Oreochromis niloticus: one gene and its partners. The protein of the gene in region 1 purifies or fractionates together with the protein of each later gene. This does not show direct contact. Links are inferred from orthologs where the notes say so. Each region holds a gene or a part of one and is shown on either strand. Other genes may lie near its edges.

Region 1 (8,178 bases):
GTGTTGGAGTCCCACAGTACCACCGTGCCGCTGTCAGACACGCTGCCCAGCAGGGAGCGCTTCACTGTGGACAACCTCAGGTCGTGGATGGGCTGGAGATCAACAGATTATCAAGCAGCAATATCAAACATTCCTCTGCTGTCTTTTAGTTACAGTTTTTATATACACGGACTTTTACTTCGCTTCTGAACAGAGTGAAGCATAAAAACTGAGCCCCTCCTCCGCTCTCTGGTTAACTCTGAGCCTGCAGAGTTGTTCTTTTATTAAAAACTGTATATAACTTCATAAGGTAAGGTAAATAAACTGAAAGCACACCTCCACCTTTTGGCTAGTCCCTGCTCGTCCTCCTTCACTACAGTCATATCATCAACTCACAGCTCACCTGTCTGACTCACCTGAGCAGCTGCACATGAACAGCTTCAAAGAAAATCTTAAACAAACAATATGAAAGTGGAGGTCTGACCTGGTTGCTGCCGTGGCCGAACGGCCTGCTGGACAGGTTGGTGGTCAGACTGTGGAGGACCAGGTCGCCGCTGGTGGAGCCGGAGGCAACGTAGCTGTCGTTGGCATTAAAGGATACGCAAGTCACCTCCTCCTTATGGTCCTAAGAGAAAAGGAGGCCATATTTATCCCGCTCTGTGCCTCAGAGGTAAAGGAAGCCGGAGGTGGAGTGAAGTCCTACCTTGAGGGAGCGGTGCAGTCTCTTGGTCTTCAGGTCCCAGATGTGCACGCAGTGATCGAGACCTCCGCTGACCAGAAACTGAGACGAGGAGCTCAGACACACCCGGGTCTGCTTTTTCTGAACACACAGGTACAAACCAGCACCGTTACACTTTACAGAGACCGAAGAGCTCTCAGTGAGATACTTACCAGACTGACTCGGCTTTCTAAAACTACACAGCATAAGTAAAATCTTTAGTTTCCCGCTTTTTCCTGGAACCTAAACTTCACTAAAACACCTGGGAGAACAGCTGGTATCATATTTCTAAAGCTCAGTGTTTTGGTTTTGGGAACTGAAGGAGAATTTGGACCCAGAGACAAACAATAAAGTCTCAGGCTTTATTCTTCTTTTATCCCTCTGCAGTCTTTGAACCGCCATGAAAACGAGCAGAGCTGAGACTCACCCCGTCGGCCAGCTCCACCACCGGCACAGGAGTCGACTTGAGGCTGGAAACGACCAGCTTGTCCCCGCTGCTGCTGGCACTGACCAGGTACTGGTCTGAGAGAACTGGTCAAGGCTGAATCACAGATCTAAAGGTGATTTATGCTGCTCACTCTGGCAGGGCAGGTCTGCATGATTCGCAGTTTAAAATAAGCTTTCTTTGTCTCATACTGTTCATGACCTGTCTGAAAGAAGCTGCTTTAGCTCTGCCCCCTTTAAGACATTTTTATCGTGATCGGCTGCCCCTTGAAATTAAACCGCCGACATAGATCAAAAACTCATCAGGAAGTGCTTACTGAGCTCAGGGTGACCAAAGACATGTATACAATCAGATAGAGGAGTCGCCCCCTGTTGGACATGACAAAGACCGCAGGTTTCCATCTTTCATATCCAGTCTGTGGTGATTTAGTGACAGCAGGATACTGTTGGAGCTCCAGCAGGCCTGAGCGACAGGGTGGCTTGTGCTGTGTGGGTTAAACTGCTCCAGCGGCGCCATGGAAACCGCATCCCAGATCTTCACGCAGTCTCCGGTCGACACCAGCCGTGTCACCTCCTCCATGGCAACAACTGGAGAAAATAAACACATGCACAGAGAGTTGTATCCTTGCAGACCGTCACTGTTAGTTTTACAGCTCATTATTTATTTTGTTAAACTTGCACAAACAACATAATTATATAGTTTTCCATTAAAGCACTGATCAGAACTACATGACTATAGAAGGGAAATGGTAAATGGCCTGTATTTATATAGCGCTTTTCTAGTCCCTAAGGACCCCAAAGCACTTTACACTACATTCAGTCACCCATTCACACACTGGTGATGGCAAGCTACATTGTAGCCACAGCCACCCTGGGGCGCACTGACAGAGGCTTCATGAATTTATACTTCATGAATATCCCCCAGGCCTCTTTTTATATATTAATCAGTATTTGATATAAGTGCAGGTCCTTTTGCTGAAAGATACTCAGATTAATAAAGAGATTTTAATTTGTTGAATATTATATAAAAACATGGCTGCCTTACATGTCACCTCAGTAAGATCCAAGCAGTAGTTTAAGGACAGATTTTATGATCTTCTTGTTGGTTTTTAAAGACTCCTCGAGCTCTGCCTGAGACCTTCCAGCGACACCTCGTTGGTGGTCAAGCTGTAAAATCTCTGTTTTTGTTTTACTTTTTGGCTTTTATAAACCAACAAAGCCAAAAAATAAACTTGTATCTATTAGCTAACTAGTATCTAACTAGATTCTATTTAATTTATTTTCGATTGAGTTTATTTTCTTTACTGTTCAGCGCTCTGAAACCTGGTTTTAAACAGTGTTATATGAATGTAAACGAGGTAGAGATGAAAAGCTGGTGCAGTAACTCGTATCGGGCAGTAAAAGTACACAGTGCTGAAGTATTTCTGTGAAACCTTCTATCGGATGTTCGTCGTTTTTGGGGGGTCTCTATTGTAGTCTGAAGGCAGACGGACACGTGAAACTGAGTCTGACGCCTGTGAGGACTTTTAACGGCTCGCAAGCTGTTTTTGGTCCATCAAACAGAAACTTTATCGACTTTGTTCCGTTAACTTGAACCTGCAGCTACAGGTAGCTCATGCTAACCGGCGAATAGCTCGGCAGCTTTAAAGTTAACAAATTGTCGCGAGGCGAGCGGAAACTACCGGGAATGTCTTCACCTGACCCTCAGAGTCTGTAAGATTAGCCATACTTACCCAGAAACAGTTTTTAATCACCGAAAAGTCGAAACTGACTTTGTTTTGGACGCGGCCGTGGCCAATGAACCGCCACTACGGAGCACCAGGAGGGACAAACGGCGGAAACGGGATCGTACTTCCTCTGTTTGTATTGAAGTCTAATCGAAATGTACTAAATATACAATATCAAAGCAACAATTAAAGAAAAACACTGAATAAAATATTTAATTATTGTTATATTTTATATGAAGAAAAGAGGCATATAAAAACGTGGCTTTATGAAGAAAAATAAAACAGAAGTTTAGTAAATATAGGTTTCTACCGCATAATTATAGTATAATTATGAAATTCTTAAAGTATTTTCGAATTATTTTAATTACTGATACCCTTATAGTTTATTGTATTTTTTTTGTATTTATTTTATAATTTATTGTTTAAACAAGGCCGATAAAAAGTCGCTCAAATAAAATTCAATATGATCAAACCATATATATAGAAAATGTTAAAAAAAAAAAAAAAAAAACACAAAAAGGAGCTTGAAAAAATTAAAAGATATATAGAAATTTTAAATTGAATTTTAAAAAAGCAGAAAATACAGAAACATTTGAAAGGAGTACAGTAAAAATAAAAACAAAATATTAGTAAAAAATTATATACTAAAATAAATTATTCAAGTAAAACAAACTACAAATGTAATTTGATAAACTGGCTTCATATGCAAAATATTTCAAATTCAGCTAAGAAAAAAAGAATAGTGTATTCAAGACGTTTCTGCAATATAATACCCCATAATTGTATTACTATCATGAAATCTTTAACGTATTTCATGGTAATTTATTTCCTAAAAACATTGTAATTTATTGTGTAAACACAACCTATAAAAATCACTCATTTATATATGAAAAAAATCTCGAAAAATCTCAAAGTTTTCACTTCATTCAAACTGTCAAGTTGTTAACTAGTTAGTTTCTCAGAAGTTTGAGTTAGTAAGTTGCAATTTGAAGATACATAACTTAAAATGTTGTGATAATAGCCCGATAACCCAAACTTTTCACTTCTTAATACCAAGAAAATGTTTTGTTTCGTTATTTTTCTTCCAGTGGCTTAAACAGTCTTCCATACCGTGAATCTGCAGTTACACACGTTCACCTATGAGGGACAGACTTGTGTTCCAGCTATTCGTGGAGTCTACCACTATAGAAGCGAGAGAAGAAGAAGTCTCCCGCCCCATCCGCCTGTTGGTTTTAAACCGAGGCGGGACGGTGCTCGGTTCACTGTGGTCCGTGGATTTCAGGCAGGAGTGTCGACTTACTGTAAAACCCGCTGCCAACATGGTGAGGACAAAAGCCGATAGTGTGCCCGGTTCATACAGAAAAGGTACGGCAACAAATTAAAGGCATTTAATCAGAATTTAGGTTTTTACAGCTTGTTTGTACAAGAACACGTTTTGTAATGTAGTCTGGCGGGCAGGCGGCGCTGAGCCAAAGCTGGTAAAATCATACAAATGTGGCCTCGAAGAAGAGTAGTTAACATATTACATTTATATTTTTACAGTAAAATAATTAAAAGAAAACTGTCAGCTGAAGTTTGTGTATATCCACCGCACGGCTTCCTAAAATCAGCCTCCCGCCAACACGGAGGCTGGTCTGCTGCCCTCTCGGGTTCTCCGGGAGAGGCCAAGATATTTAAGTTAAAACATTTAATTGTCGTTTTATCATCTGAGTCAAAAGTTCTAGCTTAATGTTCTCATTCATCTCACGAGGTGTCATCTTTAATGATCCTTTCCCAAAGTTTGTACGACGTTTACTGCAAACTGGCGCCAGTTTTGAGCGCCGCGGTGCGTCTTTGTGCGCACGCCTCACAAAAGTCCATTCACATATTACATAATTAACGCGTCTCTGTTTAACATAGAAGCCACGCGTGTTACTGTCCATAATGGATGCATGTTTATTAAGTTCTGGGACCTTCTGGTAAATTTGGCTTACATTTTTCCAACACCAAACGGATAAGAATTAAAATTTAAATCTGCTCTGCTTCCTTAAAGACCCGGTTTAAATAGCAGTGAACTGCTCTCATTCACTCTGCAGCTATTTTTAACAAGCTTTCTTTGAACTTTTATTTAACATTCTGCAAATCAGACTTTAGTCTCTTTACGTTCATTTGGCTCAGCTTTGGTCCTCGGTAAACTTCTTCTGGTTTCTCACTGGATCCTTCATAATAAGCTGGTTTCATGTATTTCATTTGCAGCTGTTGCAGCTTCTGCCCCCCGGAAGTCTCTGGGTGCCAGTTCATCCAACGCCACCTCCAACAGCCAGTCCTCCACACCTGGTCAGTCCCAGTTTCACTACGCGCGCGCACACACACACACACACACAGTTCACGTACTGAGGCTGCTGTGATTGTTGTAACTTACAGCAAAGAACAAATATGCCGGCGGGAACCCCGTGTGTCCTCGTCCCACCCCGACCTGGCAGAAGGGCATCGGGGACTTTTTTGGCGGTCCCCCAGGAAGATGGAGAAGGAGAACAGGCGGCCCCAGGAGGTGGAGGACGATGAAGAGGCTGGAGGCAGTGGGATGTCAAAGGCCAGCAGGAAGTATGTGTTGTGCTTTATTTTAAACTTCTGCAGGAAATCTGCGTCCCACCTCACGGTGTAACCGTAACCTCCTTTTAACCCCACGCGGCAGCCATCCACCAACCACTCAAGTCGCCACGAGCTGCATCAACCCTGAGATGTCATTTTAGTTTTAGGATTTCCCGCAGAAATCCAGATCCCACAAAGTGAGAGATGAAGCTCAGTGGAGGTTTGCTGCTGTGTGACGAGCCGTTAGTTTCACCTCCGGTATTTTCAGTGTGGAGCTGAGCCTGCTGCTGTGATACATGGGCCGGGGTAGTTTGATCCACTATAACACCTGAGAAGGTAATAAATGAACCATGTCAGGTGTTGAGTTCAGCTCCAGCATGGAACAATTTAAAATGTAGCATTAACTGCAGTGAACCTGTTGGGTCCGTTTAAACAGAACTAAAGAAAGCAGCTGTTTCTAATTACAAGCAAGTCGTCCTTATAAAAGTGAAACTTATAGCACTTTGTGGTGGGTTACTTAAAAGAAAAGCAGCAGCAGTTTGATACAAATCTGATCTGAGGGTCAGAAATGACAGGAAGCTGCGTTCTGGGTGAAATGACGGGGACTCGTCTTAGCGGGGAAAACGTTTGAATGAATGCTGCAAGAAACGGAGGCCGGTAAAGACGGGAGCTGATGCTTTCCCTTAACCAAATGGCTTGATCCAGAGTTTGGATCGCTGTGAAGCTTTATACGATCACATCTTACTGATCAGGAGTGTCTCACCCATCAGAGTTGTTTCTGAGGGTTCACCGGAAACCTTCAGCAGAGTCTGCAGCAATCAAATGTAAAAACACAGATGCTTTTATTTTGGAAAAACGAAAGTGTTTTCACTCTGCAGGGTTTGTTTTAAAAATTATATTCCCTCATGGTCATTGAGTTAAACCAATCAGCATCAAGCTGCACCAAGAAACCGCAGACCTGCTCAATGACTCAAAGTCCAGTTTCTTAGGAACACCGGTAGCCATGCTTCTCAGCTGATTTTTTTTTTTTTTTTTTTTTTTTTTGGGGGGGGGGTCCCAAAAACACCTCAAATACAGCGGCTGACGATAATCAGATCATTTATTTTCCTCCTTAAATCTTTGCTTTTATAGCTTCAGACGCTCACCCGTCTGGATTAATCTGCAGCTCCTTGTAGGTCCGGAAAGTCTTTAAAAGTTGAAAACTGGCATTAAATTGTTTTAAATCGATCAATAGTGAGACAGCAGAGACTGACTGTTGCATGGATGATGCTAAAATCCGAGGAGAGGCCTCAAACTCGCTGCTGACACCACTCGACTGAATGACAGATTTTAATTTATTCGGGACGTGGCATTTATGTTCCAGCGTCCTGTGGGAAGTTTGATGCCAATGTTGATCAGTTTGGTTTTTGTCGTCCGCAGAGCCCGGCCGCTGCCCGCCGAGGATGAGGAGGACGATGACTGAAGCCTGGATCAGTCCGTCTGACTGCTGATGTACATCTGTATATAAATTCTGCTCAATTCACACTGTATAGTTCAAATTTTGTTTTACCTACAGAATGTCTGTTTGAGATCATTTGGATTTCATCTTTTTTACTAATAAAACTTGACTGAAAAAAAACTGAGGAACAAACATGGCCGTCTCTGGATGAGTTTGTGGGCACGGACTCAAACGTCCAAAACTGGGCTTTATTTATTCTGTTGAGTTACAGATCAATGCTCCTGAGAAATCAGTTTGATTAATAAAATCAGATTCCTACAAAACCAGAACACCAATTGTATAATGTTTAAACACAGCTCCTCTGTTTGTCAGAATCATCTTTGTCATCAATGTTCGTTCATTTTTGTGATTGAAGCCAAGGTACAATCAGTGTTCTCAGGTTAACGACGCCAGGAATGTGAGTCCGTCCCTGTCCAGCTCCACAGAGTGGACACTGAAGTCTCCCAGGCCCTGAAACACACCAGAAAATATCAAAACAGGACAGATGGTCAGGAATTATTCTGCTCCATCAGAGCAGCTTAGCATGATTCACAGTTAAGAATAATCCTCCTGTATCACATACCTTCCCCTCAGAAAAGGAGACAATTTAGCTCCTCCCACCTTAGGCTTTTTTTTTAAGCTTTCTTTTTCTGATTGGACCCTTTTCTGTGACATCATCCAGAGCCAAAAGTAGAAAATAAACTGTATAGATCAGTCTACACTAAGCTCATTACAAACTTTCTGTTTTACAGGAGCGGCTCTGACATGTTTTTAAAAAAACTTTAAACCTGAGTTGGAAAGTAATAATGAAAGGATTCATTTGAGGTCCCAGTGGGTTGTGAAGTAATCTTTCCTGACAAAAGGTCAAAGGTCAATTGCTTTTTGTAAAAGCTTTGCTGAATAAACTGTACTGTCTCCTGTAAAGAAAACCTCTGAATGAATGTGTGGGTTTATTAAAGCCAAGCTCACAAACTCAGACTGATGGAAACTTTTCCACAAACTGAGCGACATCAAACGGAGACATGTTGGACTCGCTGCTCCGCTGTGTGGTTCAAAGTGGTATTACATGTACAGCGTAGCACTGACTCAGATCTTGTATTTATTTTTGTGTTGAATTTGAAAAAGTCCACACTGAATGTTTTATAGAATAGAATACATTTGACCTCTGACCCTGACCAGCTATTACCGGCGTGTTGTTGAGGACCTGCAGCACCACCTCCCGCTGTTGGGGCTTTCGAGTCAGCAGGTAAAGGAAGCCGCCG
Region 2 (7,716 bases), on another chromosome or scaffold:
CTCAAGGCACTTTATATTGTAAGGTAGACTCTACAATAATACAGAGAAAAACCCAACAATTAAATGACCCCCTATGAGCAAGCACTTTGGCAACAGTGGGAAGGAAAAACTTTTAACAGAAAGAAACCTCAGGCAGCACCAGGCTCAGGGAGGGGCGGCCATCTGCAGCAACCGGTTGGGGTGTAAAAAGGAAAACATGATAAAAGACATGCAGTGGAAGAGAGACAGAGATTAACAACAGGTATGATTCAATGCAGAGAGGTCTATTAACACATAGTGAGTGAAAAAGGTGCCTGAAGAAGAAATAATGCATCATGGAAATCCCTCTCCAGCCTACATCTAGTAATAATTCAGGGTCACCTGATCCAGCCCTAACTATATGCTTTAGCAAAAAGGAAAGTGTAATGTTAAATGTAGAGCTCGTGTCTGTCTCCAGAATCCAAACTGGAAACTGGTTCCACAGAAGAGGAGCCTGACAGCTACTTTTAAATATTTTAGGAACAACAAGTAAGCCTGCAGTGCGAGAGTGAAGTGCTCTCATGGGGTGATATGGTACTACGTGGTCATTAAGATAAGATGGGGTCTGATTATTTAAGACCTTGAATGTGAGCAGTAGGATTTTGAATTCAATTCTGGATTAAACAAGAGCCAGTGAAAGGAAGCCAATATAGGAGAAATATGCTCTCTCTTTCTAGTTCCTGTCAGTACTCTTGCTGTAGCATTTTGGATTAACTGAAGGTTTTTCAGGGAGTTTTTAGAATAGCCTGATAATAATGAATTACAGTAGACCAGCCTAGAAGTAATAAATGCATGAACTAGTTTTTCAGGATCACTCTGAGACAGGATTTTTCTAACTTTAGAAATATTACACAGGAAATACGAAAGAAAGCAGTCCAACATATTTGTTTAATATTGTATTGAAGGACGTATCCTGGTCAAAAATGACTCCAAGGTTCCTCACAGTGTTACTGGAGGCCAAGGTAATGCCACCCAGAGTAAGAATCTGGTTAGATGCCATATTTCTGAGATTTTCAGGGCCGAGTACCATAACCTCAGTTTTATCTGAATTTAGAAGCAGAAAATCAGAGGTCATCCAGGTCTTTATGTCTTTAAAACATTCCTGCAGTTCAACTAATTGGTGTGTGATATCTGGCCTCATGGATAGATAAAGTTGGGTGTCATCTGCATAGCAGTGAAAATGTATGCTATCCCTTCTGATAGATGACCCAGCTGTCTCAGTAACAACTCCAATTTGAATCTGACTGGATGAGCCGTTGTCAAAGCTCTGGACTTTCAACACTCTGTGGGGCCGGTTCTGCTTCCTCAGACTCCCATTTGGGATAAAATCTGCCCGTTAGGGTTTACACATCATAGCTGATGACATAATAATTGCAGCATCATCAGAACAGGAACATGACGAAATCCTGCAACGCCGCGACTTACAGGGCGCTGTTTGTAAACTGAAACAAAAAAACCCTGAAATTAACTGCAACGTTTTTCCACATTTAGCTCCAAACCTTATTAAAAAAAATTCGAGTCACTTTTTCGGACATTTATGAAAATATTTGTAACTTTTTATATTTAAAACTAAATGTTAAATCTAAATGTTTACGGGAAACTAAATATTGATCTTTTTATCTATTTGTATAGCATTTTGGACGAGTTAATGGCAGTGTTAGCTAGACAAGCATAGCTAAATTATTTAGCTAGTCCTCACTTATATATTTATTTGGTAGGTAACAGTCCTTGATGTAAATATTTCCTTAGGAATCCAGCACTGCACCTGGACCAACTAGACCTGCCGTCTCCACTGGGATATCATACTGCTCGGTAGGCTTTCTTACACGTGTAATTTAGCTGGCTGCTTTTTGTAAATGGTAAATTTGAATGGTTTTTACATACAGTCAAATATTTGTATAGAGAAAGCTTTTCTATTTTTGGTTCTGTACTAAATGGAACAACTCAGATACAGTTGAACTGCAGATTTTCAGCTTTAATTCAGTGGGTTGGACAAAAAGATTGCATAAAAATGTGATGAATTAAATTATTTTTTAACACTATCCCTTCATTTGAGGGGCTCAAAAGTATGTGAACAAATTAAATAAGTTAAAGTAAAATGTAAATTTTTAATTTTGCTGGCAACTTTTGTTTGCCTTTTGAACTCATGGACATCATTAGATGCCGGGTTTCCTCCTTTTTAATGATCTGCCTAGCCTTTACTGCACCAGCTTTCAGTTGCTGTTTGTTTGTGGGCCTGTGGCCTAAGTTTAGTTTTCAATGAGTGAAATGCATGCTCAATCAAGTAACAGACTTGATCATTCCTCTTTTTTCGCATTCGACTTGTTTGCTTTAATAAACTCCTGGGTTGCTATGGCTGTATGTTTTGGGTCATTGTCCATCTGTATTATGAACTGAGGCCCAATCAATTTGACTGCATTTAGCTGGACAAGCAGTATGTCTCTGAACACCTCAGAATTCATTCAGCTGCTTCTGTCTTTTGTCACATCATCAGTAAGTCTTATGAGTGGCTTGCACCTTGCAGTGAACCCTCTGTATTTACTTTCATGCAGTCTTCTCTTTATGGTAGACTTGGATATCGATATGCCTACCTCCTGGAGAGTGTTGTTACACTTGGTTGACTGTTGTGATGGGTTCTCTCTTCACCATTGAAATGATCTTGCAATCATCCACCACTGTTGTCTTGCTTGGACACCCAGGTCTTTTTGCATTGCTGAGTTCATCTGTCCTTTTTTCCTTTCTCAGGATTTACCAAACTGTAGATTTTGCCACTTCTAACATTGTAGCAATTTCTCAGATGGGTTTTTCTGTTCTGTTCTCTTTGACCGCATGTTGTCTGTTCGCAATAAAATTTTCCAAATGCAAGCACAACACCTCAAATCAAATCCAGGCTTTTTGTCTAATTAATTGATAATGATATAGCGAAGAAATTGTCCATACCTGCCTATGAATAGCCTTTGAGTCACTTGTCCATTAACGTTTGGTCCCTTCAAAAAGAGGGTGCCACATATTAAGAAGAAGAAACTCCTAAACCCTTCATCCACTTTGAATATGGATACCCTAAATTAAAGCTAAGTCTACATGTCATTTCTATAATATGACTATAATTAGAATATGTTTCAGTAAACAGGTAACAAAACAAAAGTTGTCAGTGTCAAAATATAAATGAACCTAACTGTAGGCCTTTTCTTCTCTGAATCCTCAAAGCACTTTATACAGCAGATCACATTACCCCATTAATACAAGCGCCCTTTCAATCCAGCATTCATATACAGTCACACACAGATAAACCCATTGGGAGCTGTAGATTAGAGCACCCGGGGATCGAATCACCAACTTTCCACTTAATAGACAACCTGCTCTAGGAATAGCCACCCCACAAGTTATGAGGTGTAATGCCTCCTTTAATTATCAGTCATCAGTCTTAAGGACATCACTAGTATCCTAGGGTTGAGGTCACAATTTTAAAAGTTTGTTAAAAATATACTGCTGTGAATGCTTGTATATACTCTTGTAAATCGCAGTCATTTCATCGGACAAACCCACTTTGAGAGAATGACAAGGTGGGTATGGAGACCTGTGCTGGAGAAGGTTTTGGGTTTCAAAGATGAAACTGCAGTAAAGAGCGCATTCAGAGTATCTGACATCAAACATCAACATCCTGCTGTATCCATCTATTGCACCATGAAAAACAAACTTCCAACGAATCAGCTTGTGATTTCCATCTTATATGTCATATGAAATTTGGATGAGGCACGGAATATACTCGCCAAGCATTTGCAGTTCTTCTGGATAGAACACCAGCCTAGTCCACGCCCCCGTAGTGACTCTCTTACACGCCATCTTTGAACCACTATATTTTTGGAATACAGGTGTCCCATCAGCATCATTTCTCCAAGAGTTGGATGTTCCGTTTTTATCTGAGACACTATCTGATGATTTAAATATAATATTTAGATGTAACATTTACATTTAATTATAGTATTTAGATTAAATATAGTTTGAAATATAAAAAGTTTGAAATATAAAAAGTTACAAATATTTTCGTAAATGTTGTGAAAAGTGACTCGAAAAAAATATTTTCATAAGGTTTGGAGCTAAATGTGGAAAACTGTTGCCGCTAATTTCAGCATTTTTCAGTTTACAAACGGAAAGGGTTAGAAAAAACTCTGAGACGCCCATGCTCCTGAGCATAAATTGTTTCTTTAAATAAAGCAAAAATTGCAATTTAAGAAGTTCATCCAAAACTGTGAATTCTGTTGGTGCTTATTGTAGAAGCTGCTCTATTTTCAGCGGAAACAGTTTTTAATACACGGAAATAATATGAAACTAAAGGGCTGATTTTGTCTCCATGAAAGGGCGACCCTTTTGCCTCATTCAGTTTATTGGCGGATCTGCCTATCTGTCACGCAATGTTCTCTCTGATTAGTCGGACCCGGGCTGTTTGCCCGCCCTTGTGGGTGGAGCCTTCCTCTCTCCTCGTGCCACCCAGAAGCTTCCAGGCTGTTGTCCGGCACGCGCTGTGAAAATGATCGGCCAGCAGGTTTTAGTGCTCAGTGAGTATTCTTATTTTCTTCCAAAGCCTTTACAAAACCACGGACAACCGTACTCAGGCCGTCCGCGGCCGCCTTCGATCCGCTAGCAACCCGGAGACGCACCAAGCAAAGCGCGGTCGTTAGCATGTTAGCCCGGTTAGCAGATGGATGCTAGGCTAACTTAAGCTAACCCGTTACTCAGCATGAACACGGAGCTAGCAGGCTAACGGTTCCTTTGAGGCTAAAATCAGGCGTTCATGTGATGTGATGGGGTGAAGGTGGAATCCTCCACCTGTGTTAGTGTGAACTCAGTTATTGATTATGTCATTAGGAACATGTCACTGTGTTTCTGATCATTATGGTTGATCCAGAGAGAAGACTCATAATCAGTACTGATTAGTATGAGAGTCAGGGTTTATCGTTTTCTTGTTCAGACGAAACATCTGCTTATTGAAAACGCATCATCACTGTACAAATAAGAATAACGAGTAAAAGCACTGCGTGTATGCGGACAGTAACTTCCTGTGTGTGTTTGTGTCTCCGCAGACCAGAACGTGAAGAGAGAGTCTGGACGTAAAGTCCAGACCGGGAACATCAATGCAGCAAAGGTGAGTTTGTTCTACAAGGCTCCGCTCACTTTCTTCTGTGCCCTTTAGGTCACAAACTGAATAACCTGCTTTGTGATCAGTGGCGGTCCTAGCCTGTTTGGTGCCCTGGGCGAACACTCCCTCTGGCGCACACACACACACACACACAAAACATATTAAGGATTGTACATTAACATAAAACTGTTGTCGGAACCATACTGAATTTCACCAGAGAAACATACACACACACACACACATATATGAAGAGAGAGTATGCATAGTATGCAAACGGCTACCGGACAGCCATCATAATTCGTCATACAATGAGAACAGGACAAATCTACAACTGACACTGACTAATTAATATTAAAATCTGTAACATAATGTATTGTTTGGAGTTTAGTCTGTTACTGTTACTATTTTTACCATTTCTTCATGGAGCAACTGTAACCTACATAATTTCCTTAGGGATTAATAAAGTATGATTCTGATTCTGATTGTTTCAGGATACATGACCTGCCATTATCCAATGACACATCTGCTTACCTGTATATTTTGCTCATTTCTCCTCCTCTTTTCTCTTTTTTCTAAACTGAGGACCTGATGGCTTTGAACTTTTCTTGTCCATCTTGGTTTTAATTTTGCACTCCAGTATGAACACCCATCCCCCAACCCGAGAATCATAACCTAATAGACCTACACCTTATTTCACAGATTCGCTTTGTCTAGGGTTTATTTCTGGGATTTCGCACAACCCAGGATTCAAATCATGAATACATAATGGGCTTGGATTTACAACATTATCAATGAAATGTGCTCTATTTGGAAGCAGCCGGCCCCCCTCCCCTTTCGACGGGTTGCGTGTGAGACTTTAAATCATCAAACTGTAAATTATAAATTTTAAATTGTTATTGATCACTTTACCCCTAATCCTAAAGTGTATATTTATTTTCTTGCTCTTCTTATATTTATTGTTTGTTTACTTGCACTGTTGTAACTGGAGCCTCGTCGTCTTGTCTCTCTATATACTGTACTGTATATAGCGGAGATGACAATAAAGTTTACTTTGACTTCAGCAGCAAGCAGGCGCACCGAGGGCTCTAGCGCTCACTTTTTGCGTATAGAATTTCGAAAAAACATCGGTGCAAATTATAAGTCTGTATCATAATGTCTGGTGTTTTTGTGTTTGTTGGTTTGTTTTTATTTTGTTTTATTTTGCGAGTTATTAGATGCTGCGCCAGCCAGAGAATCCCCGCCGCCCCGCCCTCTCCTCCCTGTGCCGCAAGCAGCAGGCGCACCTCGCAAACGGAGGGCGCCCTTACTCCCAGCAAATGGGCGATAGAAAACCGATTGGTGCCTACGACATTCCCAAAATGCGCATGATGTCGGGGCAGCATGAGTACGAGCAAATTTTTTTTTTTTTTTTTTGCCGATGCCCGTGATGCTGTCCCCCACCACTATGCCGCCCCGGGCAACCACCCGTGTTGCCCGTATCAAAAACCGCTACTGTTTGTGATCCAGGCGATGTGTTGGTGCTTTGCACAGTGGTCCCCGAGCCACTGCTGACATATATCTTGCCTATCAAATTTGTTACCGTGGTAACTGACATATCCAATCTGGCAGGTGCTCCAGCTGTTGGTTGTAGTCCGTCTTGGCCTGCTCCTTGTCTTGTAGGAGCTGGACTGGGTAAAAAAAAAAATAGAATCATGACCGGATCGCTCTCCTAGCGCAATGAGCTTCCTAATGAGCTTCACACTGTCCTTAAACTTATTGGTTAGTTACTTAATAAGCAGCTGTGTGCGGACGCACTCAGTTGTTTAAACTATTTGATTGTATACATTTGTAAGATTTAATCCAATGAGCACTGAACTTTAACAAAGACCTGTTCTTTTTTCTTCTCCTGAATATTTTATATTACTAATCAATAGGATGAAAGCGTTTATTTGTTACTGAGCAATTAATAGAATACTCAGTTGCTAAAATAATGAATCGGTACAACTCAAGTGTTTATGATTTAGTCATTGAATTTATACATATTTTTCCTTTTAAATGAAGAAGATTAAAATTCAAAGAAGATAAAAAGGTGTTTTAATTTCTGTGTGTTAGCTTTCTGTTTAGAAGCTGCTAGCAAAGTTTAGCCAGGGGGGGCCGATATGGCATTAACAGGAAAAGGGGGGGCACAAAGACATACTTTTCTTTCTTATTCTCATTTAAAATGTCTAGCTTTTAATAAATAATTATCCGAATCTTACACCGAAAGTTTTAATCTGATGTAAAATGTCTAGAAGTCCATTACTGTATAACTGTAACTGTAGACTTAACTGTGTAACTGTTAAGTCTAATATACCCTAGTAAGCTATAGTACTTTTTCCTTTGGGGAAGGTCCCTATTTTTTTTTTTTTTTTTTGCTGGGAGTTTTAGAACCCTATTAGTTAGGTTGCTTACTCTTTAAAATACCAGAATAGGGAGGATGGAGTAGGTTTAAGTTTATTAGATTGATCAGTATTGCTGAACTATGAAATATTTTGGGTGCAGTGTGTTTTTTGCATACAGGTATAACAGAATAGCTTTAGTGT
Region 3 (7,759 bases), about 12 Mb from region 1:
CTACACATGTTTTGGTTTCTGTCACTTCTGCAGCTGTTCAGTCACATCATTGTTGCTGTAAAAATATTTTGTTGTGTTTTATTTAATTTCGGTTGTGTTTTGTGTGTTTTTGCAGTTTTTTATTTTCCATTTGCTGGTGTTTCCTTACATCACAGTACATTTGACCTCTCACTGCCACCACACCCTTGAGTCTGCCTACGAAATTGAGTCAATCTGTAGAGAACTTCTATTGGCTACTCCCTTTAGGGGTCGTCACAGCGACGCCATCTGCCACGTCACTCTACCCTAGCACCCTCCTCTGTCACTTTAACCCTGTCGTCTTTCACTACATCTTTGAGTGTTCTCTGTTAACTTCCTCTTTACCCCCAGCAGACAGCTCCATCTTCAACACTTTTTGTCAAGTATATCCACTATCTCCATAGCTTCATTCAAAAATACTGGTGCCCACCAATGCTAAACCTTTAGACACTGAGCAGATGCATCAATGGATGTATAAGTTTGAAAATCATATGCTATTTTCTGAAAGTTGACAACTGACCTTGCTATTAAAGTTAGTGTCACCAGGATTTAAACTCCCAGAGGTTTTCAGCAGATGCAAATACAGTATTGAATGACTTTTAAAATCCTACATCGCCTCACAAACTTGGGTATCCACACCACCTGCAATCAGCTCTCTGCTGGACCTCAATTTTGCTAATTTCAGTCAGAAAACCTCACCTGTTTTACATTATTTTTAATAAACACCTAATATGAACTCCTGTGCAGTTAAGTCCCCTAACAGACCATGTCCTTGTCCAAATATGGTTACTTCTGGCTCCAATATACCTCTGGCCAAAATACTAGAAGCCAAGGCCTTAAAACTAGACTCTGCAACCCAATGGGCACCGTGACTACATTCGTCTTTTATATACTGTATGTGAACGTCAAAGTGAAATACACACAAAGCCAAGATTTCCCAGCAGAACTGTGCATTTAACTAGATGCTCCAAATTATTCACTTCACCTGTCAGTGGTCCAAGTCACACAAAAGTACTAGTTAAATTCAAGAACATGCTATAAATATCCAAAGCACAGAAAGCACAAAACATACCTTGAGTGTTTAGATAATAGTGTTTCCAGAGGGGTCTGAGCTTGTGCTTCCCACCCACATCCCAGATGGTGAATTTTAGGTTCTTATATTCAACCGTCTCCACATTGAAACCTTGGACAAAGATTAAAAACAAGCTTTAATATAGGATAATATTAAAAAAAAAGACTTGCATTATCCTGACTCTAAAGTAACTCTGTGAACCATTAAACTGCAAGTGCATTCACCAATGGTTGGGATGGGCTGCATGAACTCGTCTTGCTTCAGCTTGAAGAGGATGGTGGTTTTTCCAGCGCCATCGAGCCCCAGAGTCACTACGCGGATCTCCATCTTTGGACCAATGTGGACCCTGTTGTCCTGAAAGGACATTTTCAATGTCATTACTACATTTATAGGAAAACCCAAGGCTTTTCCATTTTTTGTGACATACTTGGTTTACAGAAGCAAATTTCTATGAACAGCGACAGTATGTACCTTAGTGAAGGTGACTGGGATGCCAGCATCCAGCTGAATGTGATCTGCCAGCTCAGTGAACTGGTGTTGCTGCTTCTGAAGCGTCTCCAGCAAACAGTTGATCTCCTGCTTTGCCAGAACAACTCTGCAGTCGTCCTAAAGCACATAAGAAGCAACGCACATCACACCTTTAAAGGCATTACACAAGCATTTCCACAAATCACCACAGCTTTGATCTTAACTGGGGTGAGGAAAAAGAAGGAAACGAGTTCCTAAACTCCTCACATCTCCTACCTGCTGAAGTGTTTTCTCACAGTGCAGGCAGGCGGTGGACACCTGAGACAGCAGGATGGTCATATCCTCCTGCTGCTGCCTCAGCCAGATGAGCCTCTCCCTTACATGTGCATCCACCACGCTCAGCGCCATCTCCTCCTGTCGACACAGGGTCTCGTGCAGATCTGCAAAATAAGCTCGGACGCAGGAGCGGGCGCTCTCTGCTGTGCCGGGGACCTGAAGCACACACGGGAAAGATATAAGTGCCAAAACAGAAGCATGATCATTTGTATTTTATTAAGAAGCCCTTTGTCTTACATGTTCAGTGTGTGCCATGCCTACTCCATCCTCAACTATCTGCTCGCCACCTTCTATCTGCTGCACGATGCCCACCAACTTCCTCGAGTACTCGGACACCTCCTCTGTGAAGGTTCGGATACAGTGGGCCATGTCGAGAATGGATGCACGAATCTGATTGGCTTCAGTCTCAAGAACGGCATGCTGTTAGGGAAAATAGGGCAATATATAACCATATCTTTTTCAGTGACTATATCTAATATGGGAACAAGTTTTTCAGCTACCTTATGGCCCTGGTGCTTGCCATACTCCTTACATACACAGCACATGAGGGGCCCGGACTGACAAGCTTCCTCCAGGCAGACAAACTCGATGGCGTGGACCTGATGCTGTGGACACAGGGTCTTCTCATGGGGCTTATCGGCCAGTGGCACCCGCCGGTGTTTGGCCAGTGTTCGAGTGGAGTGGGTGAGCTGAGAGCACTCGCCACACAGGTGGGTGGCACACACGGTACAGTACATGGAGGCTGTGTGGCTCTCATCCTCATCGCAGCGAATTATACACTAGTTTAAAAAAAGATGGATTGAGGATAAAGCATGCAGAAGGTGTGAAGGTGACACATCTCTTATCAGTAAAATCATAGCTGCCTTACTTCTCCCATGCCTTTCAAGGCATCCTCTGCCATTCCTGACTGGTTAGTCGCTCCATTCTGGAGTCTCTCCAAGAGTTCAAGCAGAGCAAAGTTTTTCTTTAGACCCCAAACTCCAGAGTCCCCTAAGCAAATGTGAAGAAAGCAAACTCACTTTGAAAGGCAAATAATGCCAGCACTGTACAGCTCCATGCCCTCAAAAACAACTTTAGCCTCAACTGGATCACAGATTTCTGCAGCGAGAATAATGTTTTCTGTAATAAACACCCAATTTTTCACAACTTCTGGGTAAAAGTCTTTTGTTTTTAAGGGGCTGGCATGAAGTCAAATTAACAGAAACATGCAGATCACAGGATGTTGTTCTAAGGTTCTTAGTTGGTTTTGATAGCTCTTTTTATGCTCTTGTTTTTAGAAGAATGAGCAGTCTCAGGATTCAGCAACTGAATTTCACTTAATGATTTATATAGCAGGTATTACACATATGTGTCCGCTATATATACAATGCTGGAAAGCGTGATGACATCACTCACCCAGCTCAGTGACCTGCCTGTCAAAGGGGGCAGCGGACCGCTCTGCCATGGAGGGGCAACCGGGTTAGACAGTCATGGCACACCGTGTGGCCGCAGAGCAGAAGACGAGGGACCTTGTCCCCCCTGGAGAGAGAAGACATCCTCACAAACACCACATTCCAGCACCTGCAAATAAACATATACCAGTATTAAAGCACCCGATCACTGGGGCGTACAGATGCTTCTGGGTTACTGCAGAGAGATGCTCTATAAGGTCTCAGACAGAACAATAACTAGTCGGATGCAGTCATCTTGACCCGTAGCGTTACAGTTGAATAACACTTCTGATTTCTACTTTCAGTGATCTTTAAGTGAATGCATTGAAAGCAGTACGAAAAGCAGCTTCTGACACGGTCACACTCTGAGCTGGGCTCCCTCACAGAGGAACTGCAGCAGTGAAGCACAGCTAGCACAGACGCCAACTAGCGACAGAAGACCAGCCAGCTCATCTGCTAGCATGATGCAGGCACAAATACCAGCCATGTCAACGTGCACAAGTCTAAAGGTATAAAGCAGCGCTAAAAAAATGACCGTCTTGTGAAACAGTGTTTACACATGACTCTGTTCCGATTTATAAAATAAAGCTCTGACATCCTCCTGCCAACGACGCCAACGCAGCAGCATTCGCCCAAAATCAAAAGCGTCAGAGGCAAGCCTGATGTCGGTCATTCGCTCAACATAACAAAACAGCCAAACACCAGCGATCGACATGTAGTTTGATCCAAGATTGTAGTGACACCATTACAACCTTAACCGTGCTCCCATTAGCTCCTCTCCCGTGTCGGATACAGGGCTCCATCGTCGCTACGGCGCCCTGCTTGTTTATTCCTGCTGCAGCAGCGGCCATTCTTGGACGACAGCGCAGAGACCCGAGCAGGTTTGAGAGGACAATCCCCAGAAGCACTTCCGGTTTCGTTCTTTTTCGCTCTATTAGCATCTCTACTAGTATAGGCTACCGTGCCTATATATTTCCAGTGACTTATGTTCAATTTACGAAAAAAAACCCTGCCCAAATAAATACCTAAGGGCGTTTGAAAATAGCTGAGTAGCGGCAAGATTTCCCCCTGGAAAGACTTTTTAAATTAATATGGGGTTGTAAAACATGGATTTAAAATCTTAAATGAAGACGTGACGGACAACTGAATAATGTAACTTTTAAAAACCCACTTTTTTCTTGTATTTTATTTTTGCGTGCATTACGTATGAAAGGCAAGACAATGACGTATTTTTGGCGCGTCACGCTTGGCTCAAACAGAAGCAACTGAACGTTGGGCATTGCGCTCTTAATGGTAGGTATATTTTAATTTTGAGGAATCAGGCGTTTGCTGTGTTAATCATTTAGGTCTCATTGTGGTTATATTTTTGATAAATTTTGATATTTTTGATTCGGAGAGGAGGTTCAGTTACGCCGTGTTTCGCCGTGGGCGGGCAACAATCGTTTACGCTGTTTTTCTTTTGGTCATTGCATCTTATTTTACCTTCTTATTTAATCTAACCCCTCAGTTCATTAGTGATGTCTCAACAAGCACAACAAACGATTCCCTCCGCCCCTGACTCCCCTGCGCTGGTTGTCACATCTAACGTGCAGAAATATGCAATAAAGAAGAAGAAAGTCCTCAGCGCCGAAGAAATGGAGCTGTTCGAACTTACTCAGGCTGCAGGAATCACTGTGGATCAGGAAGTTTTTAAGTATGTTTAATAATAATCGGCCTTAACTGTGGTTTACATGGAGGAGAAGACCGTGGTTTTATGTCCTCACCCCCTTCCTCCTCCTCACAGAATCATAGTCGACTTGCTGAAGATGAATGTGGCTCCTCAAGCGGTCTTCCAGACTTTGAAGGCAATGTGTGCAGGACAGAGGGTAGCTGAAAGCTGTGGTGTAGACCCTTCAACTGGCACCCACACCACAAGCATGACCACAGCGCACACAGAAGCCAGAGGTTAGTATCTGAAGAATGGGATGTAATGCAACTGAAAGTATATGTATATTTTTCATTTAAATGTTGAATATCTTTCAGCGCACATAGTCTGGCTTCTTTTAACTAAGAAACATTGCAGAAATCAGGCTGGGAAGTTTTAGTCTCCCCATTTATACTGTCTTATCCTAGTCCGTTCATGTTTTCCCCCTCTGTTGGGTCCTCCTAACCCAACATTGGTCAGTCCAGGATGCAGCAGCCACAAACACTAGCTAGGATTTAGATATCCGTCCCCCCAGATCACAACTGACTGAGGAAAAGTGGGCTGTCATTTGTCACCTACAGTTTAACCCTCTGAAAGTCAGGAAAGTTTAGGATGTGTTTTGCTCTTTTTAATCATTATGGGTTCACTTTTTTTTACGGCAATATAAAACCCTGCACCTTTAAGGAAAGCCAAGGCTAGAAGGAGAAAGAACTCATCACTGTCTTTTGTAAAGTGTAGCATAGTTATGCCACAAATCTTTATTATGTTAACATAAATTATGTATGTAGTGTTTTTTTTAAAATCGATATATAAACTGTTATTGTATAAACTATCAAAATTCCCAGATCTCGGTCTAATCAAACATCTGTGAGATATGATAAGTCCGATCCATGGAGTCCCCACCTCACATCTTAAAGGACTTAAAGGATCTGTTGCTAACCTCTTGGTCCCAGATACCAAAGCACACCTCTAGGGCATCTAGTGGAGTCCATGTGGACCAACACAATATTAGGCAGTTGGTGATAATGTTATGCTTGAGTGGTGTATGAGCTGGTGGGAATGGAGAACATCAAAGGTCCAAGGATTAGGGAACATTAGGGAAGAACACTGGTCAGAGGGGGTCCTGAGACCAACCTACTTTCCAATGCAAACAAGCCCAGTTGTTGGTAACAGTAATTTCTGATAACAAAAAGCGTGTGTGTATGTGGCTACAGATTAGATTTTTGATGCAAAGACTCAGAATTTTAAATTTCTTTTTCTAACAATTTATGTTATATTCTTTCTTTGCTCTTCTCTTTGCTTTTTAAGTGTGTGAAATTATCACGTTCCCCCATTTAAGTTCTGTACACGCTGTAGCAGAGGTTCTGTGCCGCACTCTTCCCTTACCTGACCTCACTAACTAAATCCAATCTTCACTTCACCCCACACAGCACGGTTTTCCACATAAAAGGAGGGTATCTGAAGACAGGCATAGTCATGCAAACTCATCTACAAATCGCTCATCCTCACTGTGTTACAGGTTTTTCTGATTTCCTCTCTATCCCGGTCAGTTCTTTCTTTTCTTTCTTTTTTTCTGTGTGTCTTGTTTCCTGAAGAAGAGGACTCTTTGGCTTCTGGAAAGAGCCCTAAACCTGCCGCAGCTCCCCCCTCAGCAGCAGGCCCCAGAGCCACAAGGGTCAACACTAAGATTGTGGTCTACAGCCCCCAAGACACTAGTTCTCCTCACTCTCAAGGTCCCTTTTGCTGCACTCTCTCCTCCACCTTCATCTGCCCACTTGCTTGCCTTTCTCATTAACAAAAGTTGTATTTATGTGCAATTTGATATGGAGCAGGATTTGGGAAAAAAAAAACTGCATGCTGTGCTTTCTTTATATGTGCATGCATGCGATTGTGTGTGGACCGCAAAAATTGAATTTGCCCTTGGATGTTTTCATACTCAAGGAGATTTATTCACTGTGCAGTGGATTTTTTTCCCTTTGTTTTTAAGTGGCTAGAAAGTTAAAAAAGAAACTCTGAAGTACTTTTTTATTGATTCTTTTACACAAGAGTAGCTTGAATTTACAAGTTAAAAAAAAGAAGTCTTTTATGTTGCTGTGTGGTGATTAACCTGTCACCATATGAGTGGCGGCACAAAAGAAGGGGATCTTGACTTGGTTCATACAATATGCACTTATTGAGTTCTATTTTCAGGATTTCACTAAAGACTTACAGATTAATAATGATAGTCAAGTTTATAGTCTTCTACAGTATAAATGGTCAGAAACTTAAACTTGACAAATAAAGCAGAGAAAAGTGTGCGGGCACCAAGCTTTTTATGACTTTATAAATAACGTATTAAACATTTGACTTGCTAAGAACCCTAACCCTAAGCAACCCCAATGTCTTGATTTTGTATTTGTAAATGGTTACATCAGTTTAGTGATATATAATACAGAACTTTCACTTGAAGAAGCCCTTTCAGAATAAAAATGAATGCTAAAATCTGTGATTTTAGTACAAATGGAGAGTATAAACACTATTGAAATACTTTTTTGTAAAACAAAAACAAAATGAACAATATCACTATCAGCTGGAAAAAAAAATTCCACTTTTTCCTGTATTATTATTTTTGCTAAGGCTTATGGGATATTGCTGTCACTGAGCTGGGTGGGAGGGCAGCGTGGACACTTAAGTATGTGAATGCAATAACTTGAGAACGAAGCGACATAGAACCTTCAAATTGATACCATAGGTGCATCTACTAAAAATCTC

What was found. Proteins that work in one complex are often made in the same cells at the same time.
Region 2: the proteins of nedd1 (region 1) and cct3 purify together in Homo sapiens (affinity purification with mass spectrometry; 3 studies listed by BioGRID and IntAct, with this or other methods). This does not show direct contact. The link is inferred for Oreochromis niloticus from reciprocal best matches to the Homo sapiens genes NEDD1 and CCT3.
Region 3: the proteins of nedd1 (region 1) and mzt2b purify together in Homo sapiens (affinity purification with mass spectrometry; 3 studies listed by BioGRID and IntAct, with this or other methods). This does not show direct contact. The link is inferred for Oreochromis niloticus from reciprocal best matches to the Homo sapiens genes NEDD1 and MZT2B.

The regions. Positions count from the first base shown.
Region 1 is NC_031972.2:348,288-356,465, reverse strand, and holds the start of nedd1 (protein NEDD1), read right to left. Parts: upstream 3,011-8,178; 5' UTR 2,875-3,010; intron 1,730-2,874; 5' UTR 1,722-1,729; coding exon 1,586-1,721; intron 1,220-1,585; coding exon 1,125-1,219; intron 800-1,124; coding exon 683-799; intron 605-682; coding exon 464-604; intron 93-463; coding exon 1-92. UniProt on the Homo sapiens protein: Required for mitosis progression. Promotes the nucleation of microtubules from the spindle.
Region 2 is NC_031985.2:35,959,134-35,966,849, forward strand, and holds the start of cct3 (T-complex protein 1 subunit gamma), read left to right. Parts: upstream 1-4,417; 5' UTR 4,418-4,546; coding exon 4,547-4,574; intron 4,575-5,099; coding exon 5,100-5,161; intron 5,162-7,716. UniProt on the Homo sapiens protein: Component of the chaperonin-containing T-complex (TRiC), a molecular chaperone complex that assists the folding of actin, tubulin and other proteins upon ATP hydrolysis.
Region 3 is NC_031972.2:12,028,449-12,036,207, forward strand, and holds the start of mzt2b (mitotic-spindle organizing protein 2), read left to right. Parts: upstream 1-4,460; 5' UTR 4,461-4,614; coding exon of another isoform or gene 4,615-4,617; intron 4,618-4,831; 5' UTR 4,832-4,841; coding exon 4,842-5,017; intron 5,018-5,107; coding exon 5,108-5,268; intron 5,269-6,603; coding exon 6,604-6,741; intron 6,742-7,759. UniProt on the Homo sapiens protein: Required for the recruitment and the assembly of the gamma-tubulin ring complex (gTuRC) at the centrosome.